Lonchura striata: one gene and its partners. The protein of the gene in region 3 purifies or fractionates together with the protein of the main gene of each other region. This does not show direct contact. Links are inferred from orthologs where the notes say so. Each region holds a gene or a part of one and is shown on either strand. Other genes may lie near its edges. The genes, in order: GRWD1, BRWD3, CUL4B and DCAF6.

Region 1 (7,059 bases), on a different chromosome or scaffold from region 3:
AATCCTTCCTCAAATCCCCAAAACCCCACTGAAATTCCCTCCAAAATCCTTCCTCAAAACCCCCCCAAATCCTTCCTCAAAACCCCCCCAAAATCCTCCCTCAAATCCCCCAAAACCTGCCCAAAATCCTCCCTCAAACCCCAAAACCCCACTGAAATTCCCTGCAAAATCCTTCCTCAAAACCCCCAAAACCTCTCTGAAATTCCCCCAAAATCCTCCCTCAAACCCCAAAGCCCCACTGAAATTCCCTCCAAAATCCTTTCTCAAAACCCCCAAAACCTCTCGGAAATTCCCCCAAAATCCTCCCTCAAACCCCAAAACCCCACTGAAATTCCCTCCAAAATCCTCCCTCAAAACCCCCAAAACGTCTCTGAAATTCCCCCAAAATCCTCCCTCAAACCCCCAAACCCCACTGAAATTCCCTCCAAAATCTTTCCTCAAAACCCCCAAAACCTCTCTGAAATTCCCCCAAAATCCTCCCTCAAACCCCAAAGCCCCACTGAAATTCCCTCCAAAATCTTTCCTCAAAACCCCCAAAACCTCTCTGAAATTCCCCCAAAATCCTCCCTCAAACCCCAAAACCCCACTGAAATTCCCTCCAAAATCCTTCCTCAAAACCCCCAAAACCTCTCTGAAATTCCCTCCAAAATCCTTCCTCAAAACCCCCAAAACCTCTCTGAAATTCCCTCCAAAATCCTTCCTCAAAACCCCCCCCAAATCCTTCCTCAAAACCCAAAACCCCACTGAAATTCCCTCCAAAATCCTTCCTCAAAACCCCTCTGAAATTCCCTCCAAGCCCTCCCTCAAAAATCTCCAAAATTCCCCCAAAATCCTCCCTCAAATCCCCCAAAATCCTTCCTCAAACCCCTCTGAAATTCCCTCCAAAATCCTTCCTCAAACCCCCAAAACCTCTCTGAAATTCCCCCAAAATCCTTCCTCAAAACCCCCAAAATCCTCCTTCAAACCTCCCCAAATCTTCCCTTCAAACCCTCCCCGAAACCCCTCCAAAATCCCCCCTCAAAACCCCCCAAAATTCTCCCTCAAACCTCCCCAAACTCCCCCCCAAATCCTCCCCAAAACTCCTCCAAAATTCTCTCCAAGTCCTCCCTCAAACCTCTTCAAGATCCTCCCTCAAACCTCCCCAAACCCCCTCCAAAATCCCCCAAATATCCTCCCTCAAACCTCCCCAAACCCCCTCCAAAATCCCCCAAATATCCTCCCTCAAACCTCCCCAAACCCCCCCAAAATCCCCCAAGATCCTCCCTCAAACCTCCCCAATCCCCCCCAAAATCCCCCAAAAACCTCTCTCAGCATCTCCCGGCTCCCCTCAGCCCCTCCAGCTCCCTCATCCTCACTGGTTTCCCCTCCGGACCCTCCAGCCCCCTCAGGATCCCCCGGATTTTCCTCAGCCCAGTTCCCCTCATCCCCCCGGTTCTCCTCATCCTCTCCAGCCTCCTCATCCCCCGGTTCTCCTCAAGATCCCCCGGTTCTCCTCATCCTCTCCAGCCCCCTCAGGACCACCGGTTTCCCCTCAGGATCCCCTGCTTTCCCTCAGCCCCTTCAGCCCCCGTCAGGATCCCCCAGTTCCCATCAGGATCCCCCAGTTCCCATCAGGATCCCCCAGTTCCCCTCATCCCGGTTCCCTTCAGGATCCCCCAGTTCCCCTCAGGATCCCCCAGTTCCCCTCAGGATCCCCCAGTTCCCCTCAGGATTCCCCAGTTCCCATCAGGATTCCCCAGTTCCCTTCAGGATCCCCCAGTTCTCATCCCCATCCGCTTCCCCTCATCCTGGTTCCCTTCAGGATCCCCCAGTTCTCCTCAGGATCCCCCAGTTCCCCTCAGGATCCCCCAGTTCCCCTCAGGATTCCCCGGTTCCCCTCAGGATCCCCCAGTTCCCCTCAGGATCCCCCAGTTCCCCTCAGGATTCCCCGGTTCCCCTCATCCCCATCCGCTTCCCCTCATCCCGGTTCCCCTCAGGATTCCCTGGTTCCCTTCAGGATCCCCCAGTTCCCCTCAGGATCCCCCAGTTCTCATCCCCATCCGCTTCCCCTCATCCCGGTTCCCGTCAGGATCCCCCAGTTCCCATCAGGATCCCCCAGTTCCCATCAGGATCCCCCAGTTCCCCTCATCCCGGTTCCCTTCAGGATCCCCCAGTTCCCCTCAGGATCCCCCAGTTCCCATCAGGATCCCCCAGTTCTCCTCATCCCGGTTCCCCTCAGGATCCCCCAGTTCCCCTCAGGATCCCCCAGTTCTCCTCAGGATCCCCCAGTTCTCATCCCCATCCGCTTCCCCTCATCCCGGTTCCCCTCAGGATTCCCCGGTTCCCCTCACCCGGTTTCCCCTCAGGACCGCCAGTTCCACTCATTCTCCCGGTTTCCCTCATCTCCCCGATTCCCCTCAGCTCCCTCATCCCCTCCAGCCGCCTCATTCCCCCGGTTTCTCCTCATTCCAGTTCCCTTCATCCGCCCGCTTCCCCTCAGGATCCCCCGCTTCTCCTCATCCTCTCCATCCGCTTCAGGATCCCCCGGTTCCCCTCAGGATCCCCCCGTTCCCCTCAGGATCCCCCGCTTCCCCTCATGCCCCGGTTCCCCTCATCCCCCGCTTCCCCTCATCCCCCCGTTCCCCTCATCCCCCCGTTCCCCTCAGGATCCCCCGCTTCCCCTCATCCCCCGCTTCCCCTCATCCCCCGCTTCCCCTCATCCCCCCGTTCCCCTCATCCCCCCCCAATTCCCCTCATCCCCCCCCAATTCCCCTCATCCCCCGCTTCCCCTCATCCCCCCGTTCCCCTCATCCCCCGCTTCCCCTCAGGATCCCCCGCTTCCCCTCATCCCCCGTTCCCCCCGCCCGCAGCAGGTACCGGTGCCGGCGCGGTGATACATCACGTACGCCTCCTCATCCATCACCAGCTCCTCGTCGGGCCGCAGCGGCGGCCCCTGCCCGGGCACGTACACGCGGCCGGGCCGCTCCGCCTCCGCCCGATCCCGGGCCCGGGCCCGGTCGCGGTTCGCGGCCCTGACGCGATTCGGGGCCCGGGCTCGGGACGCGCCGCGCCGCGCCGCCATCTTGGCCGCGAGGGGAGGCGGCGCTTCCGGCGGGAGCCGCGCCCACTTCCGGGTGATGGGTGGCGGCTTCCGGTCACGTGACAGGCGATGGCGGGCGAGCGCTCCCAGCGAGTCCCAGTAACACCAGTGACACCAGTAACCTCCCCAGTAACCTCCCAGTGAGTCCCAGTAACACCAGTAACCTCCCAGTGACCTCCAAGTGACCTCCCAGTGACACCAGTGACCTCCCAGTGACCTCCCAGTGAGTCCCAGTAACACCAGTGACCTCCCAGTAACACCAGTGACCTCCCAGTGACCTCCCAGTAACACCAGTGACCTCCCAGTGAGTCCCAGTAACACCAGTAACCTCCCCAGTAACCTCCCAGTGACCTCCCAGTGACACCAGTGACCTCCCAGTGACCTCCCAGTGACCCCCCCCAGTGACCCCCAGTAACCCCCAGTGACCTCCCAGTGACCCCCCCCAGTGACCCCCAGTAACCCCCAGTGACCTTCCAGTGACCCCCCCAGTAACACCAGTGACACCAGTAACCCCCAGTAACACCAGTGAGTCCCAGTGACCCCCCAGTAACCTTTCAGTGACTCCCAGTAACACCAGTGACCCCCAGTGACCTCCCACTGACCCCCCCAGTAACCTCCCAGTGACTCCCAGTAACACCAGTGACCTCAAGTGTCCTCCCAGTCCCCCCCAGCCCCATTCCCAGTCCCCCGCAGTCCCCTCCCAGTGCTCCCAGTTCCCTCCCAGTTCCCTCTCAGTCCCTCCCAGTCCCTCCCAGTGCTCCCAGTCCCCCCCAGTCCGTCCCAGTTTGCCCAGTCCGGCTCTGCTCGGTCCCAGCCGTTTATTGGGGGGGGAGGGGCGGCCCCTCCCCCCCCCGCAGCTGCCGCAGCTCCGCCAGCGCCGCGCGGAGGCGCCGCAGGAACAGCCGGGGGTCCTGGGGGCACAGGGGTCAGGGACACCCGAAAATACACCCCAAAACAGCCCGAATACACCCAAAATACAGCCCGGAAACAGCCCAAATACACCCCAAATACAGCCCGAATACACCCAAAATACAGCCCGGAAACAGCCCAAATACAGCCCAAAACAGCCCAAAATACACCCAAAATACAGCCCGGAAACAGCCCAAATACACCCCAAATACAGCCCGAATACACCCAAAATACAGCCCAAAACAGCCCGAATACACCCCAAAATACAGCCCGAAAACAGCCCAAATACACCCCAAAACAGCCCAAAATACACCCAAAAATATAGCCCGAAAACAGCCCAAATACAGCCAAAAAACAGCCCAAAATACACCCAAAAATACAGCCCGAAAACAGCCCAAATACAGCCAAAAAACAGCCCAAAACCAGCTCAAAATACATCCAAAAAACAGCCTGAAAACAGCCCAAAACCAGCCCAAAATACACCCAAAAATATAGCCCAAAACCAGCCCCAAATACACCCAAAAAACAGCCCCAAAACAGCCCAAAATACACCCAAAAAACAGCACCAAACAGCCCAAAACACACCCAAAAAACAGCCCCAAAACAGCCCAAAAACAGCCCAAAAACACCCCAAAATACACCCCAAAACCAGCTCAAAACCACCCAAGAACAGCCCAAACACCCAAAATACACCCAAAGTACACCCAAAATACAGCCCAAATACACCCAAAATACAGCCCAGGAAGGGTGGGGGGAGGTTTTGGGATTTTTGGGGGCAGGATTTGGGTTTTTTTTGTGGGGATGTTTTCGGGTTTTTTTGGGGGGGGTGTTGGGGGAGGTTTTGGGGTTTTTTTGGGGGGTTTGGGGGAGGTTTTGGGGTTTTTTTAGGGGACTTTGGGGGAGGTTTTGGGTTTTTTTGGGGCAGGATTTGCATTTTTGTGGGGGGTGGTTTTTGGGTTTTTTGGGGGGATGTTTTCGGGTTTTTTTGGGGGGGTGTTGGGGGAGGTTTTGGGGTTTTTGGGGATTTTTGGGGGGATGTTTTCAGGTTTTTTTGGGGGGTGCTGGGGAGGTTTTGGGGTTTTGGGGGATTTTTGGGGGGATGTTTTCGGGTTTTTTTGGGGGGGTGTTGGGGGACGTTTTGGGGTTTTTGGGGATTTTTGGGGGGATGTTTTCAGGTTTTTTTGGGGGGTGTTGGGGAGGTTTTGGGGTTTTGGGGGATTTTTGGGGGGATGTTTTTGGGTTTTTTTGGGGGGTGTTGGGGAGGTTTTGGGGGATTTTTGGGGGGATGTTTTCGGGTTTTTTTGGAGGGTGTTGGGGAGGTTTTGGGGATTTTGGGGATTTTTGGGGGGATGTTTTCGGGTTTTTTTGGGGGGTGCTGGGGAGGTTTTGGGGTTTTTGGGGATTTTTGGGGGGATGTTTTCGGGTTTTTTTGGGGGGGTGTTGGGGGAGGTTTTGGGGTTTTTGGGGATTTTTGGGGGGATGTTTTCGGGTTTTTTTGGGGGGTGCTGGGGAGGTTTTGGGGGATTTTTGGGGGGATGTTTTCGGGTTTTTTTGGGGGGTGTTGGGGAGGTTTTGGGGTTTTTGGGGATTTTTGGGGGGATGTTTTCGGGTTTTTTTGGGGGGGTGTTGGGGAGGTTTTGGGGATTTTGGGGATTTTTGGCCAGCCCTCACTCACCGTTTTCGGGGACCCCTCCCTGCAGGAGATGTGGACGAGGACGGGGCCGGCGTCCCCTCCCCCGGTGAAGGAAACCCCGTAACCGTCCTGGTGGGGCTGGGGGGGCCCAGTCAGCACCAGGGACCCCCAGGTCCTCCCAGTCCATCCCAGTTCAACCCAGTTCAACCCAGTTCAACCCAGTTCATCCCAGTTCAACCCAGTAACCCCCAGTTCCATCCCAGTAACCCCCAGTTCCATCCCAGTCCATCCCAGTTCATCCCAGTTCAACCCAGTTCATCCCAGTTCATCCCAGTTCCATCCCAGTTCATCCCAGTTCAACCCAGTAACCCCCAGTTCCATCCCAGTAACCCCCAGTTCCATCCCAGTCCATCCCAGTTCAACCCAGTAACCCCCAGTTCAACCCAGTTCCTCCCAGTTCCCCCCAGTCCCCTCCCAGTTCCCTCCCAGCCCCTCCCAGTCCCCCCCAGTTCCCTCCCAGTCCGTCCCAGTCCCTCCCAGCTTATTCCCAGTCCCTCCCAGTCCGTCCCAGTTCCTCCCAGTTCCCTCCCAGTTCCCCCCCAGTCCCTCCCAATCCCTCCCAGTTCCCCCCCAGTCCCTCCCAATCCCTCCCAGTTCCCCCCCAGTCCCTCCCAATCCCTCCCAGTTCCCTCCCAGTTCCCTCCCAGTTCCCCCCCAGTCCCTCCCAGTTCCCCCCCAGTCCCTCCCAGTCCCTCCCAGTTCCCTCCCAGCCCCTCCCAGTTTATTCCCAGTCCCTCCCAGCCCCTCCCAGTCCCTCCCAGTTTATTCCCAGTTCCCTCCCAATCCCTCCCAGCCCCTCCCAGTCCCTCCCAGTTTATTCCCAGTTCCCTCCCAATCCCTCCCAGCCCCTCCCAGTCCCTCCCAGTTTATTCCCAGCCCCTCCCAGTCCCTCCCAGTCCCTCCCAGTTTATTCCCAGTACACACCGGGTTGAAGCCGCCCCCCGCCGGCCGCAGGGGGAGGGGCAGCAGCGGTGGGTGTGGCCGGGGGGCGGGGCTAAAGGCCAGAGCCCAGGGCTGCCCCAGCACCTGGGGGCGGGGACATGCAAATGAGGCCGGCAGCCACACCCAACGCGCCGGCCAATCGCGGTGACGCTCGTCAGGCCACGCCCTCGGGTGGCAACGCCTCATTGGCCAGATGAAGTCAGGCCACGCCCTCCTTGGACACACCCACCTCATTATAAGGCAATTTTATGCAAGCCACACCCTTCCTGGTTGAGGACACGCCCCCTTTTAAACAAAACCTGCCCCTCATGCCACACCCACTTCCTTATGTGGTAATTAATAACCAAGCCACGCCCACTTCTCTATATGGTAATTTACACACACCCACTTCTTTATATGGTAATTAACACCCAAGCCCCACCCACATCCTTATATG
Region 2 (7,622 bases), about 4.2 Mb from region 3:
ATTACCTGCCTGACCAGAGTAGCTGCACCACCCAGCTGAGATTGTAAACGATTTTGGGTTTCTGGCTGTAAAAAGTAGAAAAGGATAGAAAAAACCCGTTTACCTCCAACTGCTGGCACCTCCAATTTAATTTGGGTTCATTATGTGCCTGAGATAATTAAAATGAAGGTTGGAGTGCTTTGTGTCCTTCACAACCCTGGTTCTGTTCTGATCATTGCATTCAGACATCCAGCCAGCCCTGAAGTCGAGGGGCTCAGGTTAATAAACAATCATATGCAGCCAAAAGTCCAAATTCCAAACACAGCAAACCCTAAGCAATGAGGGAGAAAAAGCCTTTCTTCAACATCCTTAACATTCTGAGGATTCACAGACAGAAACTCAGCTCATCCCACCTGGCATCAACCTGCCCCACTGTAAGGATTCATTTATAATCCTGGTCCTTACTGTAAACCATGAGAAAAAGTTAAATAATATTATATAAAAGGGCAAACTAAAAGCATCGATTAGTGCTGATTAGTTTAAGACAAAAAAAATCTTAAATTTAATTACGATATTAGTTTATACAGAAATAAGAAATTTCCCATTAACTCCAAAACTCACTTCAAAACGGTTTTTCTCCAGTTTCTGAAATGTTAAAGAAAAGTACGTTTCAACATGTTCAAACACACATTTAAAAAAAGATTTTAAGGTTTCAAGGCTTTTATATCTGTGCCACAGAGAATAAATAGAAAAAAAGTGTATGTTAATCAAAGTGATAGGCAAAACCACTCTGACACCAGACCTCATAGTGGCACTGCTAATATTCCTCCTGGATATTGGGTGTAGTCCCACGTTAAACCTGAGACAGCCCAGTTAGATTTCAGATTCTCAAGAAGACCACAGAGCACCAAAATTTATTGACTGCAGAACTTTATGTCTGTTCACTCAATTTACAGTGCCAGAATTATCCACCAGAGGTATGAGGAAGCCCGGCTTCCACCTGAAATTCTGAACAGGCTTTAGAAAGGGAAAGGCAGCGGCACCAAAGGTCTCCTCTGGGCACAAGGAGTTCTGTCCACACCTGAGCTCCTACAATGTTGCTAAAGTGGAGACAGATGCAGAGGAGTTTGAGCAAGAGTCACGGCAAAATCCCACGTCACTGTTGCTCCACGGAGCCGGGAGAGGCCAGGACGTGCTTCCCATTCCTTCCAGGTGAGCTGCCAGCGCTGGGCACAGGTATCAGCGCCACAAGCGCTGTGGGGAAGTTTACAGCCTTCCAACTGCAGAGTGCTACATCAGCGCCACACGTCATTGCCCACAGCTCCCAGAAATGAAATCAAGGCCGCCTGGGCCCTTTGGAAAAGGACTGGAAGGGCTTTAATGTTGTCGCTTTCACAGACACGTCCCGGGGGGCGCGGGGCCAAGGGCCACCTCCCACCGCCGGCCTTGCGGAGGGACTGACCTTCCTCAATGACACACATTCATGGGGTTTCGCACCCAGCAACAGCAGCCACCCCGTGCATTTCACGGGCATTTAACAGCCACAACACCACACTTCCTAACCCCTCCTTTCCTGCCTGACAGCAGGCCCAGACACCGCGGAGAGGGGCGGGTTTCGCGCAGGCCGCCGCAGGCCGGGAATCCCTGACCCAGCCCGGCAGCGCCGGGCCCGGCGGCACGTCCGGCACGTCCCCCCCGCCGGGCTGCGGGAGAGCGGCCGAGCCCGGCCCGCAGCGGGGCAGCCCCGGGGCCGGCGGCGATGGAGCGGCGGAGCCGGGGGGACCCGCGCCCCGCGCCCCCCGCCCCGCCGGCTCCGCCGCGGCGCCGCCGCAGCCAATCAGCTGCCGCCTCACATCGCCGCGCACCGCTCTCCGCGTTGTAAGGCGCGGCGCCATTGGCCGCGCCGGGCCCCGGTGCGTGCCCTCGGATAACCCCCGGCCCCACAATAGCGCGGCGCGGCCGCTCCGCCGGTGCCACCGGGCGGCTCACGGGGGTCTCGCCGGCGGCCCCCGGCCCCGCCGCGCCTCCGCTCCCTGCCCTGCCCTCCGCTCCGCACTCCGCGGCCCGCCGCGGCCTCGGCGGGGCGCAGCCCGCCGCGCTTATGGGGGGGGGACACACAAACGGGGCGGAGGGGGGGACGCGGCGCCCGGTGCGGCGGCGGCGGCGCGGGGGGCGGAGGGAAGTTGTCGGAAAAGTCAGGAGTGAAACTTGTCTCACCAGGTCCTCGAAGCTCCGGCGGTGCTCCTTGCCCTGCCAGTCCAGGCGCCGCGGGATGAGCTGCGGAAGGGACACGGGGACGGGGGCGGCCGTCAGAGCCCGAGCGACCCCTCCCTGGGCAGCGCCCCCGGTGCCCGCCCGCGCCCCCCGGGATGGAGCCCCCCCGGCCGCTGGCCCCGGCCGCGCCGCGGGGCAGCCGCGCTCCCGCCGGGTGTCCCGGGCGGAGATGGGCTGGGTTAGACGGGGCAGGGCAAACGCCGACCCCGCCGTCCCGAGGGCTTCCCCCGTCCCGCCGGGGCAGGCGCCTCACCTGGTGCTCCTCCAGCTCCTCTACCAGTACCTGGGGACAGAGGGACACACAGACACACAGACACACACAAAGGACGTGAGTCCGGCGGCCGCAGCGCAGCGGCTCCGCCGCCCCGTCCCGTCCCGTCCCGTCCCGTCCCGTCCCGTCCCGTCGCCGCCCGCCCGGCCCGGCCGGAGCGCCGGCTCCGCGCTCACCTGGGCGGATTTCTTGCAGGGTCCGGACTGCAGGAACCGTGCGATCAGGTAGTAGAGCTCTGCGGAGAGGCGGGAGAGAGCGGGTTAGACACGGTAAGAACGGAGGGGGTGCGGAGCGCAGCCCCCGCCGCCAGCGATACCCACCGGCTTCCAGCTGGGTCGGGGCGGCCGCCGCCGCCATCCTCCTCGGGAGGGGGAGGGGAGGTGGCGGATGGCGCCCCGGGGGGACTCGGCTCCTAGTGCGGGCGCAGCCCCATGCCGGAGCGGCGGTGCCGGTGCGGGGCGCGGGTCCCGGTGCGGGTGCGGGCGCGGGTCCCGCCCGGGCTCATCGCGGCTCCGCGGACCGAGCGCCGCCGGCACCGCCCGCACCGCCGCCGCCCGCCGCCGGGGGGCGCGCGCGGCAGCGGCGGGCGGGCGGGGGGGCGCAGGAAGGGCGGGGCGGGCACGCGCCGCGGGGGGGCGCGCGCCACTTCCGGGCGGCGGCTGAGGGAGGAGGAGGAAGGGGAGGAGGAGGAAGGGCCGGGCCGCCGGGCCGCGATCTCCCCGGGCGTTCGGCCGCCGTCACGGGGCAGCGCTGCGCCGGGCCGTGCTTCGGAGGGCCCGGTAGGCGTCACGGGGGAGCGCTAACGGCTCTGGCCTCGCGGCTTCGGCGCTCCCCGGGTGTCCCTGCCTCAGCCCTCACGGCTCCGGCCCTCACGGCCGCAGTGTGCTCGGCTCAGTGCTCCTGGCCTCCTGCCTGGAAGCTCCTGGGAAGTGGAGCCCCGTGTGTGCCGCTAGTGAAGCAGTTTTTAAGAGGATGAAGGGATTCAGGAACCTTAGGGGTCCTGGCAAGGGGAGGGGGATGGAGCCCGGGCTGCGCGGTGGGGAAGGGACAGCCCTTCCGGGCTCCCGGTAAACAAGGCCTGGCTGCAGGGAAGTGTCTCAGGTTGGGGTGACCTTAGGAGTTAAATAAAAGTGTTTGCTCCCAGTGGCCAGGAAATTCCGATATGATGGATGCAGCACCTGTTCTCTCCAAGGAACAAAGGGGTCAGGGTTAGAGTAGATCGTCCTAATGGAAATAAATATTTTTCCATGGGATGCGTCCCGTCACAGCTTCTGAAATCGGTGTCACTTCAGCGAGGAGTTGCTAAAACACATCAAGTGATTGTATTTTATCTAAAGTACGTGACATTTGGTGTTAGAACTCCAGTGTAAAAGCCACTGTCATTGTGGAATAGCCAAGGACAGCCTCTCCTCATGCCTGGAATACCGAGAGCTGAATCACTGTGAGTCAATGCTCTGGTAATATTAAGAATAAATTTAGTTTAAGCGCAGCTGCTCAGGACTGGGTTTGCTGTGGAGCAGTGGCTCAGAGTTTTGCTGTGCAGTCAGGATGCAGTCCTTCCTTCTGGCAGCTCCACAGAATGCCTTCAGGCACCCAGCCAATCTGGGGAGAAGGATTTGGGGATTTGGCATTAGGCTGCTCCACATAATTCGCCTGTATTCACCTGTCCCTTCATCCACCTGTGGAAGGTGTTTTGTGCCAGGAGCTTGGATTAACTGGCTGATGAGTGGACCCTGATTCCTCCTCGTCATCCTCTAAAGTTCTTGAGTTCTCGGTGACTGTTGATAGGATCACAGAATGGTTTGATGGAAGGAACCTTAAAGTTCATCCAGTCCCACCCCCTGCCATGGCAGGGACACCTTCTGCTACCCCACGCTGCTCCAAGCCCCGTCCAGCCTGGCCTTGGGCACTTCCAGGGATGCAGGGGCAGCCACAGCTTCTCTGGGCATCTGTGCCAAGGCCTCCCTACCTTCACAATAAAAAATTCTTCCAAATACCCCCCCTAACCTTGTCCTCTGGCAGTGGGAAGCCATTTCCCCTTGTCCCAAGTCCCTTTCCACTTTTCTGGTAGGCTCCAAACAATTACTCTTGGAATGTTTTCAGGGCCGGTTCATGGCTCAGCGCATAAGTGGACAGACAAGAGGTGCCACCTCACCAAGCTGCAAATTCCAGTGGCTTTCCAGTAGTAACAGCTCTCCCAGCTTCCCAGCAGAACCCCAGAGGCTCCAAAGCTGCAGAGCTTCCCAGGAGAGGGTGAAACTGCTGTTCCCAGAATGAGCTCCCAGCCAGGAGAAGCACACACTGATCCCACTCTCCGGAGGAGAATGTTTCTCCCACCTGCCTTCAGAGCCCAGAACTGCAAGCTCATCTTTTCATGCGTGATGGGAAGGCAAAGGAGAAAACACGGATGATGTTTCATAATATGCCTTGAAAGTACAAATTCATCATCCTGAGCTGATCAGAATTCCACGTCAAGGGAAAATCAGCCCCATAAATACTGGCCAGCACCATGTCCTGGTGCATTTCAGTGCCAACAGCTCCACATGCGTGCTTGGGTGAGACCCCCACCTGCAGAGCTGCCTCCAGCCCTGCACAGGAAGGACCTGGAGTTGTTGGAGCAAATGCAGTGGAGGCACCGAGATGGTCAGAGGGCTAGTGCAGCTCTGCTGCGAGGAGAGGCTGGGAGAATTGGGATTGTTCAGCCTGGAGAAGAGAAACTCCAGAGTGACCTAACTGTGGCCTTCCAGTGCCTGAGGGGACCCCACAGGGAAGATGGAGAGAGACCACATGGGCCTGGAGTGCCAGGACAAGAGGAAATGGCTTCCCACTGCCAGAGGGCAGGGTTAGATGGGATGTTGGGAAGGAATTGTGCCCTGTGACGGTGTAGAGGCCCTGACACAGAGCGCCCAGAGAAGCTGTGGCTGCCCCATCCATGCAAGTGTCCAAGGCTGGGTTGCATGGGACTTAGAGCAACCTGGGATAGTGGAAGGTGTCCCTGTCCATGGCAGGGGTGGGGGTGGATGGGCTTTAATGCCTCTTCCAACCCAAACCATTCTGGGATTCCGTGATTCTGTATTTTTTTAGGAATGTGGCATTTCCTTGGCACCTTTTGGTGCCTTACTGAATCTCTCCACTCATGATATGCTTTTATTTGAGCTTGGGGGTGGTACAGGAGAAGCTGCAGCACCACCAGGCAGGATTGTTCTGTTTGGACCTGTCTAGAGCCCATGGGAATTTCTGCAGTAACTAAAAGGAGCTTTCAAAAGCCTGGGATAAAAAATGCTCCCAAAGTAAGCTTGTGTCCTTCCTGCAGCATTCCAGCTGGGAGCCTGGCTGCTCCTTGCTTGGTGCTCAGTCCACAGCCTCGGGTCAGTGCTCAGCCAGTGTTGCTCCACATCGTGGCTCGGATGGATTCTTGCATCAGCAGGAGGGGAGAGTGTTGGGAATGGCCCCGGTGTGTCCCGTGTGTGCTGCAGGGCACTGCTGTGCAGGAACCTGCACAGGGGCAGGTACAGCCAGCATTCCTCATTCCCAAACAGTTCACAGGGAGCTTCCCTCGGCCTGGCTGTGGCTGGACAGTGCTGCTGTGCAGTCACTCCCGAGCCTCTTCCCAGCATTCCTGACTCCTTGGCACATCAGCTTCCTCTCCTTAGCGCTCTCCCAGTTGCCTCATTACTCCCCAAGCCTGCTACACGGGCTGTTATCAATACCTCTTCCCACCTCTCCTGGGTTTTCCCCTCCAGGAATCATGTCTGGTGAGTAATGCCCATCCTCTCTTTCCCCAGGAGCTCCATTTCCACACCACACGTGGATTCTGCAGCTCCATGACTCATCCTTTTCCAGATCCTCTGCATCCAAGCAGCAGCATGCTGGGGGTGATAGTAAATCTTGGAGTGAAAGCAGGATTTTATGGATGTGCTGATTCATCTTTCCTCAGAGCAGAGCTCTGTTATGTAAATGCCAGCAGCAGCTGGTGGCAGGAGGAGGGAGAACAGACTAATGAGCCACAGAAGGATTCGGGAGCAGAGATGCTTTAAGGAAGAAGCTGGATTGTAGCTGTTTCTTTCCATACTGCTCTTTAAATAAATAAAAAACTGAAAGTTTTTGAGGAATTTTAGGAGTAGGTACTGATGACATTGAAATACCCATTGCTTCTCCCCATTTGGTGTTTTAGGGAGTTTTGCTCTTAGTTGCAGTTAAAAGTAAAATTCAACCCCTGCTTAATTTTACTACAAAATTAAGCGAACTTTCCCACAATCAGCTTGTAAAACCAGGTAAAGGTGGTTTTATTTTATTTATTATTATTCTGCCCTCATGAGTCAAATCCTGTTTTAACCATGTGTGAAAACAGAACTGTGGTTTAGCATAACCAGAAATGTACAGTTAAAATTAAAAAAAAAAGAAAATTTAGACTGGAATTGTGTATGTGTGGTAGATTTACATGCATTGTACCTTTCTAGTAAATGTAGATAAGGATGCACATGCCTGAATCCAGCTGAATTTGAACGCTGGAACAAATGATACATTTTAGTATTTTTTTTTTAATATATATTTTCTGTGTACATTTCATAGAACACCCCTGAGTTGGAAGCAACCCACAAGGATTTTTATGAACATTCTGCTCATCTTGGGCCTTTTATATGGAGCTAAATGGATAGTAGTTAAATCCAAATTTTGTTTAGCTGATTCAAAAATAAGAGCTGTTCAGAAGGAATTCAGGAGTTGGTGCCTTGTGCTACACAGTTATGAGTAAATGAATATTGAAATGTCCAAGCTTAAGACCTTTACATAGAGAAACCTCAAATTTTGATATCATAGTTTATTTTTAAAAATAAATGAGATGCAAAGTAATTAGTACTAATTACAGTTGCTGGAGTGCAGGGCTCGTGTGTGCAAACCAACATCCTCTTTTTGCCGGACAAACCTCCAAGTTCCCACTCCTTCCCGTGGTTCTCTTCCTCGACAAGAGCTGATAAATATTATCTAAATAGCTGTTAGATATTACACAAGATCTGCTCCAGGTTTTTTGCTATTTTTAATAATTTAATATTTATTTCTCTGCTGCATCATTCCAGTCATTCCTCTAGATGGTGCCAGA
Region 3 (7,814 bases):
CCCAAAGTGACCATTTTTGTTCTAATAAGGACATTCCTAAATGGAGAAGACAGAAGAAGAAAGTCTGAGAAGGAAGATGACATATGCACATCCATGCTACCAACAGGTGAAACTGGCCCAGAGTTTATACTCTATTAAAATTGACTTTTACACACCTACAAGTAAAAAACAAATTTTAAAACTTTACGAATTCCATAGAAATAATTAAAAGAGAGAAGTAATTATTTTGTTCTTCCAAGCATTTTTGTACAATACTGGCAATATCCCAAACATTAGCTGCCTGATCTGGATCTAGAGACAACTAACCATGGACTTGCCTATTTTCACTAACAACTCCTGACTATGCTCTGAGCAATCAACACCAAGGTTATGGATTTTACGAAGTTATTTAAGTTGTAAAGGATGTCATTGTTATCACACTAAGAGAAGGCAAATATCTTAATAATGTTATTCAGTTTAGCATCTGAGATAAATAAAAAGCAAAGCTGTCAGAATACCAAAACATCCTTTTTAAGCAAGTGGTTCAAATACCCATTCAGAAGCAATGATCACAGTACCATGCAATCCGTGACATTTAACAGGTATTTTAAAAGTGAGAAGTTAACTTCCCTTAAAGATTACAGTGCACAAGGAACTGAAGAGCAGCCTATAATGCATCATAGCTTGGTATTTTAAAATAATCAGTCAAATTAAATTATGATGCTTTGATGGGTGGAGAACATTTTTGAGAATTGGAACCTTAAAGCAAAGAGTTACAGTGTGATCATGAATTCCTGCAAAACCATTACTAATCCTTACCTAATGCAACATGTCTACAGAAGATTTGTGTCAATTGTGTATTTCAAAATTAATTTTAATTTCGGTAATATCTTTTACCCCTCCACAAACCAAAATGCAAACAAGCCAGGAAAGCAAGGTAGTGGACTATTTTGGAAGCCAGCAAGAAGCAGGAAATAAAAAAAGCTCACGATCGCCTCATCTTCATAGGGAAAAAATGGCAGCATTTTAGCTAAGCTTTCTGCCTACCTATTTGTATTTTTGTTTACTAGAAAATAAAGCAGCATCACATCAGAAAAGTTTAATTTCTCTACTTCACCTTGGTCTCTACTAACACTACTAAAAAATCTCAAATGTGTGTTTGGAAAGAATTTATAAAATAAAGTAAACTTCTAAAGTAAGAGTAAGCTAAGACAGAGGAAAGATACTACAATTAAAAATGACAGCTTTCCATTAAAAGGAAAAAACTGCAAAAATCTGAACTATCTACTTTAAAAGCAAGTGGGGAAACCTGAAAGGAAATCCACCATAATAACCCGATAATCACCTTAGTTTCAACATTTAAAGCTAAGCACATGAAGATTATCCTATAAACAGACAACAAGGATAGAGATAAGACATGCAGATTCAAGGCCAATTAAAAAAACCCCCACATTCTATGCAAAGGCTTATCATAAACTGGGCTAAAATATACACTAAGCTCTGAATCAGAATTACTAGAACAACGGTATCAAATGTTAAAACAAAGGCAATTTAACACTTAGGCAGTAAAACCTTACACCTAACATACAAATGAAGGCCTTCTCAAGAGAAAGAATGGAGTCTGAAAAATAATTCCAAGCAGCAAAGTGTAGCTCAGGATGTGTACATGACCAGGCAAGCACACATCAGAAATCATGATTCCCCTTTACATAAATATGGAAATGTTCAGCACAGAAAAGCAATTCCTGCAAAACCTGGGGCTATTTGGGCTTTCAGGCTGAAAACAAATCGCGAAGTCGAGTGTCAGCTCCCCACAGGTTGTGACAAATTATGGCCTGTTACCTTTAAAGTTCTTGATCACTAATTTCTTGGCAGAGCCAGGTTTACTGTTGGCGAAACTGGAAACAGTAGAGGAGGCAGCTTTGGTCAGGCCATTTGCATGGTGCCCCACAGCCACTGACGAAATTAAAAGGCTTTTATTTTTAAGCTGTTGCTGGTGCTGCTGCTGAGAAGAGGCAGCAGGAGAGGAGGAGGAGGAAGAAGACTCTTCAGCCATCTTCACATCGAGTCCAATAAAATCCACGGAGTCCTCAAAGCGCAGCTTCTTCTGGAGGTGATGGTTGGAGGAAGCAACCCCTGAGGAGGAGCACGAGGAAGTGGTGATGACAGAGGAAGATGATGAGGAGGTGTTTTTGGAAGGAGAAGAGGTGCAGGAGGAAATGGAATCAAATTCTTCTTTTTCGGAATTACTGTTGCTGCTGTTATTTAGCTTTCTCTTCTTGCAGGAGGAGCTGCTGCTAGTGTTACCATCAGTGGCAGGTCTGACCTCCTGGGCTGCAGCTGGGGGGTTGGGGGAAGAGAAACCTGTGGGAAACATGAACACACAGAAGTGAACAGGCTGAGGGGCATCAAATCCTTGTGGTGTGACAAAGAAGAGGGGGAGAGTTTTAGAGTCAGTCTCTGTTTACTGTCTCGGGGGGGGGGTGGGGGGTCTTTCAACTCCTCCTTCTCATCAGTGAAGTCCTTCCGTATTTCTTCTCCTTCGCGTTTTTCTTTATCGGAGGAATCACTTTATCTCCTCTTCCCTTTTCTTTATTACTTTGGTTCTTCCCGTAGTTTGGCGCTGCCTTTCTGCTTTTACTCCTTTCCCAGCGCAGCGTTTCCGTTCCTGCCGCCCACCAGTTCCTTTCGGTTCTCCTCTCCAGCTGCAGAATTCCCCACGGCTGCCCGCTTCCCCGGCTTCTCCTTGCGCTCCCCTCCTGCTCCGGCCGCCTCGTCTCCGCCGAGCAGCAGCGGGGAGGGCTGAGCGCGGCTCCCTCCGGCCTCGGCTCCAGCCCCTGGCCCCACCCGCTCCCGCTCCGCCCGCGGCCGCTCCGCTCGGCCCCGCTCGGCCCCGCTCCCCCCTCTCCGCTGTGCCCGCGCTCGCTGAGGGGGGACGGCCCGGCCGGGTTGTTATTGTCACTGCACGGCAGAGGGAGCGCAAAAATGGCGGCGCATCCGCCCGCCGTGCATGACGGGGCGCGGCGCACGGAAGCGCGGCCGGGAAGCGCTGGGACCGCCCCGGGACCCGCCCCGGGACCCGCCCCGGGATCCGCCCCGAGACCCGCCCCGGGACCCGCCCCGGGACCCGCCCCGGGACCCGCCCCGGGACCCGCCCCGGGACCCGCCCCGGGACCCGCCCCGGGACCCGCCCCGGGACCCGCCTCCGGCCCCGCCGGCGCCCTCGGCCCCGCCGGAACTGATCGTGGCTCGGTGCCCCCCGCGCCGGCCTGGGGCCGCCCCTGGGGCGGGAGTGCGGGACCGGGGAGTGCCGCTCCGGGGCGTTCCGCTCCGGGGCCCGTTCCGGGGGCCCGCCCGGCCTCAGGCGGCCTCACCCGGCCCGGCCCCGCCGCAGGCTCGGCCGCCGTCTGCTCGTTCCGCCGGAGCCTGCGGCCTAGGCCCGGGCCTGTTAGCTAAGCCTGTTAGCTTGGTCTGGAAATGCTTTTTGTTACACTTATTTATAAATAATTTAGCGTCAGCTGTTTGATACGATTTTAATACATACTACTTGCACTGGGCTACAGTCTATGGTTTGCTTTTCTTTTGTTTATTTTGTAACTTTTAGAAACAAGAACAGAAGTCCTGGGCCTTTGGAGTCTCCTTTTTGATGTTGGTGGTTCTGTTGCCAAAGGGACTGTAAACTCCTGAGGAATGTTGTTAGGGTTCAACCACTGCTGAGAAATGGCTGTGGAAAAAGCAACAAGCCAAGTGATGAGGTTTTGTTCCAGGAGATTCTCCACGGCCTTCACCAGAGCATACCTTGTACACCAGGCAGCTCCTCAGGGGAAAATCTAGTGGCACTTTTATGTTGGATAGGAAAACACAGACTTAATTCTCTTGACAGAAACTGGTACATGGAATGTAATGTCACTAAAGCTCTTCTGGAGTATGTTTTATGTCTGAGTCACTGTCAGACAACTCCTGAGGCCTGGAATGTCATGCTAGTGATGTGTAGAAAAGCACTTTTTCCAGTTGAAAAAACGCCAGCAAAACAAAGCTTCAGTCTGGCTTTGACTGGCTTTAGAAGAGATTGTATGGTTCCCAAGGCTACTAAATTGCATTCCAAGTCGGATATAATAGAAAAAAACAGGTTTGCCAAGTAAATAAGTTATGTGAGTATGCTGTAAAATTTTCCTCTGTTCCCCAGTAACTGTCATGTTCACTTAAGCCAAAATAGATAAGAGGTCTAGAGATGTAAGAGATGCCAAATTTCTACACATTCTTGGTTCATTGAAAGGATTTGATTTATAAAAAAGACATGAGTAAGAGTCCCTTTTCCTGAAGTTGCTGTCTATGCAATCATTCAGGGGTGGGACAGTCAATGACTTTGTCCCATCAGTTAGAATATTCAGCTTTTGGATGTGAGAGAGCAGGTGGAGGCAAGGTAAAGTTCTGGGGATCCAGGAAGAAGTATGATGGATTTTCCCCCTTTTCTACCAAAACTTATGGGGAGTGAAATCCTAAGTCCTTTCTATTTAGCACATGATCCTGAGGGGTGGTTTCTGTCAGAACAGTTGCTGGATGTTCCCCCTGCTTTGTCAGTCTTGTCCAGGTACCATGCTTTTAAAATTTTGGTACTTTTAAGTGACTCTGCAACCAGATGAAAGTCTCCAGCTTTTTTGTGTTGAGGCTGAACAGTAACACTGAGAGCTGTGTTAATGAAGTCCAGCCTAGGTCCTTGGAGCCTTCTTCAGAAGTCCTCTGTACAGGCATGTTTAGATTGACTGAGCAGTTACCTACCCCAGCAAAAAGCATTTGGAAGAGAAGGTGGAGAAGTTGAGACCAGACTAAAGGTTAGCTCAGCCTGAAGGGAACCAATGGTCCAACTGCTTGAAGGTAGTAAAAGTGTAGAGGTAAGACCTTCCTCTTGACAAAGGCATTTTTTGAAAATTTGGGCCTAATCTTGCTGTTTTAGGCAGACATGAAACTGGTGGCTCAGGTGACTTCAGTGAGATGTGCTGTGTTTCTCAAGAAGAGTAGAAGTTTACCTTGTGTTTCTATCACTTGAGGTAGAATATGATGAATTTTTCATTACAGTTTTAAAAAATGTGGTTGTTTGCATGGCTAAGTACTATTTGATGAAAGTTTTTCTGAGGATCACCATAACGTATGGAATAGTTTTTCAGTGTGATTAACTCCCATTCTCATTTTCTAATCCTGGGGATGAGCAGTGTCACTGTGGTTCAGTTAAAACTGAATTCTTGATCATCACTCAGTATTTTTGGGGATGCTACAAAGTAGGTGAAGGTGGCATTCATAAGTGAAGTGCTTGACTGTTTATGTAATGCCATAGTTCATTCCTATACTTTCAAAAAGTTATTAGTGTGTTTGTTCCCAAAGCTGTACTGCACTATTTGAATGATACCATGTATAATGCTTGATTTTACTTTGGCAAATATAACTTTTAAGTATTAGGTTTTAATTACCTGTTATAGTATCAAAGGTGATGAAATTGTTTTGTATGGAAAAAAGAAACTCGGTTGTTAGCATAATGATAACCTGATGTTTTATATCCTCTCCTCCCTCTCCTTTATCCTAGTGTTGGCATTTCCATGACACTAAAAAGAAACTGGGTGATCACCTCTATGTCTGTTTATGTAGCAGCCACCAGCCTAAAGAACAAACACAGGTCTGCTCCTCAGAGAGTGAAAAAGCAGTGTGGTAAATTCTGTCTGCTATGGTTTTCTATTCACAATTGCGGCGGCCATCACCAAACAAAACCTAATTTGATTCTGATACACTCCACCAGATCCATCTGTCTGCCTGGCAGCTGAGATCTTCTCTGGAAGCCAGGTTTCTGCTTCCTCCCCACTTTGAAGATGTGGTACTGTCACCTGGGACCGATTCCCTAGCCGGGAACAGTATCTGCTGTTTGACAAGAACTCTATTTTTCCCCCCAGAATACTGTTGATAGTATCTCGTGTCCTACTCTGAAGCTGGCGTGACGATAGCTTCTGCTCTGCTAGTTTGAAGATGGCTGTGTTTTTTTCCAGATAAACGTATTTTGTGTTTAAATAATGCCAGCAGCTAGTAGCACTTTGCTCTTCTTATTTTACCAAAAAGCGATACATTACCTGGGAAACCAGCGCCGTGCCTGTAAGTAGCAGGCGCCGGGCTGCTGTGGGAGGTTAATAACAACGCAGTTGTGCAAGGGGCAGCGGGCGGGCGCGGCCCCGGCGCGGGCGCGGCCCCGGCGCGGGCGCGGCCCCGGTACCGGGGCCGCGCCCGCGCCGGGGCCGCGCCCGCGCCGGGGCCGCGCCGCGCTGCCGGCTGGCCCCGCCCGTTCCGCGGGGATGGAGCGGCGCTTCCGGCGGGCTTGGAGGGAGGGACGGCCCGGCCGGAGCCGCGTGTGAGCAGCGCCCAGGCTGTGGGTGCCCGCCGGCCCCGGCCCGCCCGCCCGCCCGGCGCCCCCCGCCCGCAGGATGTTCAAGAAGTGAGTGCGGCCGGGCTGGGGCCGCGGGAGGCGCGGGGGAAGGGAAGGGAAGGGAAGGGAAGGGAAGGGAAGGGAAGGGAAGGGCAGGGCAGGGCAGGGCCCGGCGCTGCGGTGGACGTGAAGGATTCGCATCGGAACGGGGCTGTGGGTGTTTGTGGTACCAGCAGAGTACTCTCGGAGTTGAATAAAATAGCGCTGTGTGCCGGGCTTAATGTGTGAGACTAAACACGTGCTGTGGCCGTACAAAAAGTTTAGGGATGAAGACAGGCTGCCCCGCCTTCCCCCAGCCCAAGTGTTCCAAGGGGGCAAATTTAAGCTTCATGAAATTTCTGCATTTGAAAGTTGGACAGTCAGTCTGCTATTAGATTTTTATAGTGAATTTATAAGCATTTCTGAAGACAGCTGCTGAAAAATGCATATTTTATGCAGAAAATTATGCATTTCTAAAATGCTTTCATTTGACAGATTTGATGAAAAGGAGAATGTATCAAACTGTATCCAGCTGAAGACTTCAGTTATTAAAGGTATCAAGAATCAACTGATAGACCAGTTTCCTGTTATTGAACCATGGCTAAACCAAATCATGCCAAAGAAAGATCCAGTTAAAATAGTAAGATGGTAAGTATCTCTTCTCTTAAACTTTGCTTTCAAGGTGCTAGGATGGCTTTCTTTGTTTACTTTGTACAGTAGATAAACCTAGCACTTTTGATGGGCATCCATCATCTCTTAATAGATAGTCCGTGTTATGGCCAAACCAGAAAGTTGGCTTGTGCTCATTTTGCTTTAAAGGCACATGCTAGTAGGATGCTTGAGGAACTTAAAAATCTTCCTAGTAGCTAGTGTGCAGTGTATTCAGGGTCTCTCCAAGGACCAGCCTGTTGTTGAAGGGAAGCATTCAGCTTGATGGACATGGAAGCACAAAATTGTTTGGATTCCCGTCAGTAACATTTTGTAGTATTTTCAGGCTTCCATGTATTATCTTGATTATTTTCCCTTTTTTTAAATAGAGGGTGGTACATTTTTGCTGCATCCTTCTCCTTATCCACTCTTTGTATTGCATTCAAAAAGCAATGCCAAGGAAATGCAGTTTGTGTATTTTGTCAGTAGGTTTCTTTTTTCTCAAAGGGGGAAGAAGTGAACAGGAGACCACTGCTGAAGAACAAGTCATATAAAAAGATAATATTTTTAGTTTTAAATTTTGTTGCTAATTGACTGTTTTTATTCTCAGGTGCTAAGATAGACTGGACTTTATAAAGCAAAATCCTGTATTTAAAGTACAGAATGGCTGAGTAGCTCTCAAATTTTTTTTTTTTAATCTTGCAGTCATGAGCATATAGAAATCCTCACTGTCAATGGGGAGTTG
Region 4 (7,531 bases), on a different chromosome or scaffold from region 3:
CCGTATAAGATATTTCTCAAATTCCTCAATCTCAGAATAGACACATGCTTTATGAGTTTTGCATCATGCCTACCTTGAGCAACAGGTGGTGTTTCACAAGAGAACCCCAGTGAAAAGCACAATTCTTCCACAAAGCATTTTCCCCATGTTGTATCCCCTTCAGTTTGTGTTGTTACTAAGGCTAATTTTGTTCCTCCCCATATATTAAGAATTAGAGCCTCTTAATCTTTCTGCAGCCTCAAGTATCTGCTGGGAATCTCTTGCTTGCTCAGTGTGTTGCTGCAGGTTGCCCTGGGCTTGACACCCAGACACCAGCTGGCATCTTGTACTTACCCATTTCATGACAGGTGCCCAGAAAAACACTGTTTTGGGACCTGAGGGAGAATGGGAGAAAAGAAGTTAAATTACTTAGTAAGGTGTGGCTGTTTTAATAGCCACAGTAAGTTTGTTTTATTTTAATTGTTGTTTTTTTTTAATAATGAATTGTTTATATTAGAGTTTCTATTGCTGTACAAGCTCTAGCACCTAATACTCATAATTCATCACCTCAGTGCATCAACCTTCAGTTGTATAATCACTCCACACATTTCTGCAACAGTTGGACAGGATTTTTTATATCCATGTTTAAGCAACTGAGGACACTGGAGCAAGCAAAATGCATTTTTAAATTAAAGACTTAGGAAGAGTCCTAGGAATATGGAAAACACCCCAAAAATCTACCAGTAAGCAAAGGAGGATTTGGGGGAAAATGAGGAAATCTCAAGAAGGAAGGGAGGAAAATCCAATGGCATGGGACCTGGGGGAAAAACAACTCTCTTATGAATACTTGTGATTTTCAATGGTGCTAAAACAGCAACTGGTTGGTTAAAACAAAGCCCATGTAAAGCCACGCCTACAACTATGCCAGAAATCATTAATCTGGGACTTCTGCTCCAAGTCTTAAATGAGAGACCACAATTCAAATTACCAACCCCTATGAAACAGTCAGAAATTAACCTTTAGGTCACTGCTCAGCACACTGATAACATGCAAAATGAAGCCAAGTTTTCACTATAATATATTACATAGGAGTAACCACCAGGACTTTGGTTCCTGCTTTTTATGAGAGCTATTTCTTTCACTAATAATTCAGCCTTAAAAAGACCTTGCACTAACTACTTGTACTTCCAGTTTTAACCATCCTCAAGTTTAAAACTATGAATTGGGAAACAAAAACTGGCTTGGCAGCCTTGCATAAAGCCCTTTTTAACCCACCCAGCTTGTGATCAAGTTTCAAACTCCATTTAATAACTACAAGCACACTACTTTTTGTCTAATATTGTTGAATATTAGATAACAGCAGCTTAATGTTCATCCTTTAAAGATATAAACTTCAGCTGCTGTTCTCTTAGGCACTTACTTGGTGTGTCAGTATCAGGCTGCAAATACAGCTTGTTATAAATAAATCAGTCTTACAGAGTAGCTTTAATTACTAACATTTATCTTATTCTAAAAAGCAAATTCAGATTTGGAGTACCAGAGGATGTGGGATGAGTATAAATTATTAAACTGACATTCCCTAAACAGCTAGTATAGTTTTCAAGAAGACTGACATTAATTTTTATTAATAATAGAAAACTCAACCATTTCAAATTGATGACTGCAGAAATAAGAATTGGAGAGGGGGAAGGTACCAAACCAAGTTTGTAATTAGGGAAGACTGTTAAACACCTCTCCTTGGAGCACTCCAGCAAGCACCCAGCCTGGGTGAACTCTTCCCAGCTCCTGACATCCAGAATTTTTCAAGGATGAATACAACAGCAGCACATGAGAGCAGGGGAACACCAGAGGCTAATTTAGGTATCACATACATGACCAGTTTTATAGAATTTATGACTTCTATTAAACGTAAGAAGTCTTTGTGCTGAAAACTTGAGTTTAGTCAGGCAAAGTGAACCAGAGCAGCCAAAGGGGAGGGAGCACAAGCTCAGCCCTTGCTTTCCCATGGCAACCTGGGGAGTTGGTGTGCCAGGCCCTCCACTGTCCTCCAACAATGCCAGCCAAAGAAACAGTTTTTAACAGGCACCAATTCTTTTGCTGGAAGCTTTCTTTATGCCAGAAAGTGCTTCATGCCTCACAGGTGATTTATAATTTCATGACAATGACGCTTATATTCCTGAATTAGACTAGAGATTAAGATGTCACTGGAGATAAAAGAAAGTCTTTCATTTTTAACCCACTTTTTTTCCTGCAGAGTGACATCTATTGCATAACTTTCTCAAAGACACACCTTCAAGGCTAAAATAGAAGTTGCAGGGGTTCAGTTTCTATACTTGCTTGTGCTGTGACTTTTCTCACTTACACCATCAGTATGGATTATGACAGGTATATAACATATATATACACAAAGAATCCCTAAAAATGGATTTATTACTGACAACATTATGGTGATGACCAAGAGCGGCCCACAGGCAGTTTTGTGAAGTGAAAAGCACTGCAAGAGAACCTCCAAAACTTTCTCCAATTCCCACTACAGCTCTGTTGAAGAAGGAACATGGATGTTCCCAGCACTTGCTGTGCCTTGCATCCACTAAGAGTATCTGGAAGCTGTCACATTTCACACCAGTGGAATGTGTCTCTCAGTGTTGGACATACTGTCTCTTTATGTATAAAAGCAATACGCTAATGTTAAATATATTGGTCTAGTGAATTCAGTATAAATCAAACATTTTGAGGACTGCACTCTTCATCCTTTGTGATTCCTTTAGAACAACGATTTTCCTTCCAAGAAAGGGCCGTTGTAAGAGGATAGAGCAAGTGACTGCAAACCAAAGTCCATTTTCACAGTGCATATTCCTGGTAGGTGAAGAGTCAAGGATGCCTGTGACACTGACAGGAAACAGTGGGGACAGAGCCTATGGAATGCCAGGATTTTATCGGGCGCTCGTTTTAACAACCGACGCAATTTGTTTACATGACAAACACCACGTAGATGGCACTGAACGAGATCCTTTTACAGGAGGTTTCTCCCTAATAACACAACCCCCCACGTTTGCCCATGGAAAGGTAAACTGCAGGTCAGGTGAGGGGAGCTCATTCTTTACCCGCAGGAGTCCTCCAGCGAATTCACCAAAGGCATGAGCTGTCTTTGGTAGAAGCGTGGGATTCAGCAGAAAGGAAATAAAACCAAAGGCTGCCTGACTTGACCAGGGCACAGTTCAAGATCAGAAACCCTGGAAGTGCCCAAGGCCAGGCTGGATGGGGCTCTGAGTAGCCTGCTCTGGTGGAAGGTGCCCCTGCCCGTAGCAGCGGGTGGAACGGGATGATCTTTAATATCCCTTCCATCCCAAACCATTCCAGGATTCTATGATTTTTCCAGCACATCCTCTTGCAAGAAGCGGTTCCCGAGGCATCCAGGCCCCTTTAGACCCACGACATCCCCTGGGCCAGGCTCTGGCAGCCCAGGCGCTCCCTGGATCCGCCCCGCGGTACCGCGACAGTGACAGCAGCGCATCCATCCCGGAACCAGCCGTGCCGTGCCCGATTATCCTGCTCTCCCTTCAGGAGCAGTCAATTCCCCGTTACGGAGCAGGACTCCGCTCCAGGGCCGCCCTCCCGCGCCAGAAGCACCCGAACCGCGTTACTGCGGCCCCGCCCGTACGGAACACATCCCCCGCGCCACCATCCCCGCCGGTCCAACCGGGGGCCAAGGTGACCCGCGCCCATTACCCGCGGGGTGGTTGTAGAAGGGCCGGAACCGCGGCGGCAGCATGAGCTCGATGCGGTCCAGCAGGCGGTGGTAGGAAGCGCGGAGCCCCGCGACTGCGGCCGCCATGGCGAGGGACGGGGCGAGCGGGGTCCGAGTGGGGAGAGAGGGGCGAGCGGGCACCGAGCGGGGGCCGCGTCCCGTCCGTCCGTCCGTCCGTCCGTCCTCCGCCCGGGCCCCGCCCCCCGGGCCTGCCCGCCCGGCACTGCGCCCTGATTGGTCACCGCCGCAGGGGGCGGGGCGGGGCGGAGAGCTGCGCGCGCTGTTATTGGCTGAGCGCGCTGGGCCGGGCAGCTGGGGAGAGCTGGCGCGCCCGCCGCCCTCGGGAAGGGCACAGGCGCCCGGCTCAGAGATGGCGGCCGCTGCTTCGCTCTCCCCTCAAGATGGCCGCCGCGGGAGAACCCTGCGCTGCGAGTAATGCGCCCTAAGCCAAGATGGCCGCTTTGCGGCTTCACAGCGCTTCACTGGACGGGGCGGGTTTATTCCCGGCGGAGCCGAGCGCCCTGACGTCACCCTCCACGCCCACGACGCGCCCTCCCCTCAGTCGGGGCGGGGCGACGTCACCGGCTCGCGCGAGACGCCCATTAATCTCGGGCCTCCGTGCCCCCTCCCCGGCGGGCGTGGCCCACCGCGGCCGGGGTGGGCGTGGCCCCCGCGCGCGGTGGGCGTGTCCCGGAGCCGCCGCGCCCCTGGCTCGCGGTCGGTGCCTCGGCGCGAGGCGGGCGCGGGGCGCGCGCGCGGGGCCCGCTCGGCGGTTCCCATGGTGATCGCGCGCGCCCGGCCGGTCCCGGCGCACCCCCCCGGCTCGGCGCGCGCCCTTCCCGCCCGCGCGGGGCCATGTCCCGCGGGCGCTGCCCGCACCTGCTGTGGGACGTGCGGAAGCGGACCCTGGGGCTGGAGGAGCCGGGACTGCTGCGCAGGCACTACCTCGGTAAGGACCCGCGCTCGGCGGGGCGGGCGAGCTCCGGCCGTCCCGGGCGCCCACCGAGCGGGCAGGGGGCCCGGAGCCCCTTCCAGGCGCCGCCGCTCCCCCGCTCGGCCGCGCTGTCCCGCAGCTCCGAAGTTTCCTGTGCCGCGTGTGGGGCGGCGACACCTCCAAATCCACCCTCCGCGACCTCAGGGGCGGTCCGGGACACCCCGGCCCCATCCCTCCGCGCTGCCCGGGTGGCCTGGGGCCCGCCGGGACCCCCCGGTCCCTCGGTGCGCGGCTCCGCTCGCCCGCCGCGCCTGTTTCCCGAAGGAACTGTTGCACGCGGAGATCCAGCCGGGAAGTTGGGCGGCGGCTCAAAGCAGCTCCGGCGTCGGGCGTTCCGTGCCCGGGGCCGGGCAGGGTCCGGATTTACCGGCGCTGAGCTGCCGGCGGCTGGGAACAAAGCACGTAGACGCCTCCGGGGTGATGGCGCGGCCGCTGTCCGGCGGCCCGAGGTGTTGCCGGGCTCCGGGAGAAGCCGAGCCGCCGCCGGCGCTCGGCGCGGCCATCCCCCGCGCCCTGGTGTCCCCGAGCGCTCCGCGGGGTCCCCGCCGGCGGCGCGGCCCCGGCTGCCCCCGCGCCCGAGCCAGGCATTTGCACTTCCCAAGTTACAGCCAGCGCCACTTTTCCTCCCCGAGGCCGCGCTCGGCGTGAAGGAACTATCGATGTTTTTTGTCATGGCGCAGGTTTTGTCTAAACACGCTGCCAAAAAGTATTTTTAAACGCCGGTGTTTATTTCACGTGTTGTCGGAGGTGTGGCGATCCATCGTAGCGGCGCTGGGGATCTGGGGGTTGTCTCTCCGGGGTAGATGGCTGGGTGGGTCGGGAACGCGTTCTTTTGTGCTCGTGTGCCAAAACAATTCTTGCCTTGGAGTGGAAACCTCGAGTACTCGAGATGGAGCTTGATTTACAGCGTTGTAAAACGAGTGTCGATCCGTGTCTCCCAGGCTTTCCCGGCTGTGCTCGGTGGTGATGGTCTGTCGTTTGGGTTTTTCCTGGTGGAATTTAAGGTGGGATATCACATTACTGAGCCTAACTCAAGAGTTTTCTGCCTGTAGTCCCTGAGCGCTCAGTAATCCACAAAACGTTAATCGAGGAAATCAAGGTTATTGCTGTAGGTTTCTACCGATTGCAGAGAGGGGGGTGTGTCGGTGTGTGCCGTGCACAAGTCCCTTGGAAAGAAATTTTGAGTCCTAAAATAAAAAAATTGATTGAGAACTAACGATCTAGCTGCTTTTGATTTTGTTTAGTCTCAAGCTGTGCTTGGCCAAGCCTTAGCCGAGGATTGTTATAACTTTTAGTGATCAATCCTTCTGACTGGATTTTTTTTTTTTTACTTTTTGTCTGCTCCAGTTGGAGCAGAAAACCTCAATGTTAAAATGAGGACTGTAGTGTGCAGATTCTGAAGAAGTGCCTTTTTTTTTTTTTTTGGAAGAAGACCTTTGTTGGTTTTTTTCTTCAGCTTTTACATGGTTGTGTCTCTGAGAGTTGAAGTACTAAGATTCGAATAGTAGAAATCATCTTCCCAGACTTCCAAGATGTCTTTTCTGGATGCTACTCCAATAAAATGTTTCTAACTTTAGTTAAAACTATGGTGCCTTGGTTAAGGTCTCATATTTACTATTCTTCCTTTCACCTAAACAAGTTCAGTTGCTTGAGAGCCTTGAAAAAATAGGACCTGGGAGAGCCTTCCCACGGAATTGAAGTTGAGATCTGCATTGGTGGTGACAAGACATGCTCAGTCCGTACTGACTCCTGCTTTTCACCAGGGGGTTGGTACAGGGTGTGCTTGTCTTGTGGAACCACTGCACTTTTACCCAAATGGCGTTTATGGCCTTGATAAACCCACTGATTTGACTGCTAGTCAGGTGTGGTTGTTCAAGTGCAGATTTCCTAGAGAAGAGGCCTGTTGTGCCTTTTTGTGTGCAGGGCAGTGTAGGTGTAGGTCTTTTCTCTTTCAGACTTCAGCAGCTCTGTGTACGAGCTTTGTTCTCTGGCCCACTGGTCAAGACTGCCCTGGTCAGCTGGGTGCAAGTGCTTATTGGTCACTGCTGGTCTGATCTGCGTGGGAAGTAAGGCTTCTTCCTATTTATAATTTCTTTTTTTCAGTAGTGTTTCAACAGTCTGGCAGGCAGAACAAATGGAGGGCAGGAATTTCACTGTAACTTAGGAGTAGTGGGAGACTTGAGGCATTGTCCATGTGCATTTTTTTTTTTATTTGAGCAAATCTGTCTAAACAGTTATGGATTCAGGTACAAAATGAAGTAATTTATATGTCTCTTCTTTGCTTGCTGCACTTTTTCAGCCACCAAATGAAAGGAAAAGCATTACAGCAAGTTCATGACTAACAATGCAATTGGGAGGAAGATGTCTGTGTGGATGGTAGTTAATGAGCCCTTCACTGGGATGGTTGTGTTGTGCTACAGTGTAAAATATCAGAAATATCGACAGTGACCATGTTTTGAAGAAAGACATCTGAGAACTAATTGCTGTTTCCTATTTACTCGGTGTTTTAGTTTCATGTGAATTGGCAATCAAGTGGCACTCTATAAATAGCCTCTCTCAGCTTCTGAAAACAGCTGCTCCAGGAAGGGTCTGTGTAATGTACCTTTCCATGCAGATAGCTCACCCGTGGAATTTATGGCCTTGCGGAAACTCTCTCTGATTTTGCAAGATCTCTAAATAATTGCTTTGAAGTCCAGTCAGTTCTGGACAGAGTTTCAGAGAAACGACTCATGAAGATGGGGCTGTAGGTGCATCTGTGGGATGTATCCTTCAGCTGTTATGCTTTGGTGAGAACTCCTGCTGTGATGAGA

Evidence for each region.
Region 1: the proteins of CUL4B (region 3) and GRWD1 purify together in Homo sapiens (co-immunoprecipitation; 4 studies listed by BioGRID and IntAct, with this or other methods). This does not show direct contact. The link is inferred for Lonchura striata from reciprocal best matches to the Homo sapiens genes CUL4B and GRWD1.
Region 2: the proteins of CUL4B (region 3) and BRWD3 purify together in Homo sapiens (affinity purification with mass spectrometry; 3 studies listed by BioGRID and IntAct, with this or other methods). This does not show direct contact. The link is inferred for Lonchura striata from reciprocal best matches to the Homo sapiens genes CUL4B and BRWD3.
Region 4: the proteins of CUL4B (region 3) and DCAF6 purify together in Homo sapiens (affinity purification with mass spectrometry; 6 studies listed by BioGRID and IntAct, with this or other methods). This does not show direct contact. The link is inferred for Lonchura striata from reciprocal best matches to the Homo sapiens genes CUL4B and DCAF6.

Annotation. Positions count from the first base shown.
Region 1 is NC_134640.1:2,324,932-2,331,990, reverse strand, and holds the start of GRWD1 (glutamate-rich WD repeat-containing protein 1), read right to left. Parts: upstream 3,009-7,059; 5' UTR 2,900-3,008; coding exon 2,857-2,899; intron 1-2,856. Other genes in the region: carnitine O-palmitoyltransferase 1, muscle isoform, read right to left, coding at 3,898-3,990, 5,664-5,759, 6,606-6,707. UniProt on the Homo sapiens protein: Histone binding-protein that regulates chromatin dynamics and minichromosome maintenance (MCM) loading at replication origins, possibly by promoting chromatin openness.
Region 2 is NC_134616.1:4,924,629-4,932,250, reverse strand, and holds the start of BRWD3 (bromodomain and WD repeat-containing protein 3), read right to left. Parts: upstream 3,010-7,622; 5' UTR 2,882-3,009; coding exon 2,845-2,881; intron 2,794-2,844; exon of another isoform or gene 2,760-2,793; coding exon 2,701-2,759; intron 2,582-2,700; exon of another isoform or gene 2,537-2,581; coding exon 2,507-2,536; exon of another isoform or gene 2,437-2,506; intron 2,257-2,436; coding exon 2,197-2,256; intron 1-2,196. UniProt on the Homo sapiens protein: Plays a role in the regulation of cell morphology and cytoskeletal organization. Required in the control of cell shape.
Region 3 is NC_134616.1:9,129,925-9,137,738, forward strand, and holds the start of CUL4B (cullin-4B), read right to left. Parts: upstream 3,003-7,814; 5' UTR 2,357-3,002; coding exon 1,822-2,356; intron 1-1,821. Other genes in the region: MCTS1 (malignant T-cell-amplified sequence 1), read left to right, coding at 6,441-6,451, 6,917-7,069, 7,775-7,814.
Region 4 is NC_134604.1:15,140,700-15,148,230, forward strand, and holds the start of DCAF6 (DDB1- and CUL4-associated factor 6), read left to right. Parts: upstream 1-4,515; 5' UTR 4,516-4,582; coding exon 4,583-4,676; intron 4,677-7,531. Other genes in the region: MPC2 (mitochondrial pyruvate carrier 2), read right to left, coding at 334-374, 3,709-3,814. UniProt on the Homo sapiens protein: Ligand-dependent coactivator of nuclear receptors. Enhance transcriptional activity of the nuclear receptors NR3C1 and AR. May function as a substrate receptor for CUL4-DDB1 E3 ubiquitin-protein ligase complex.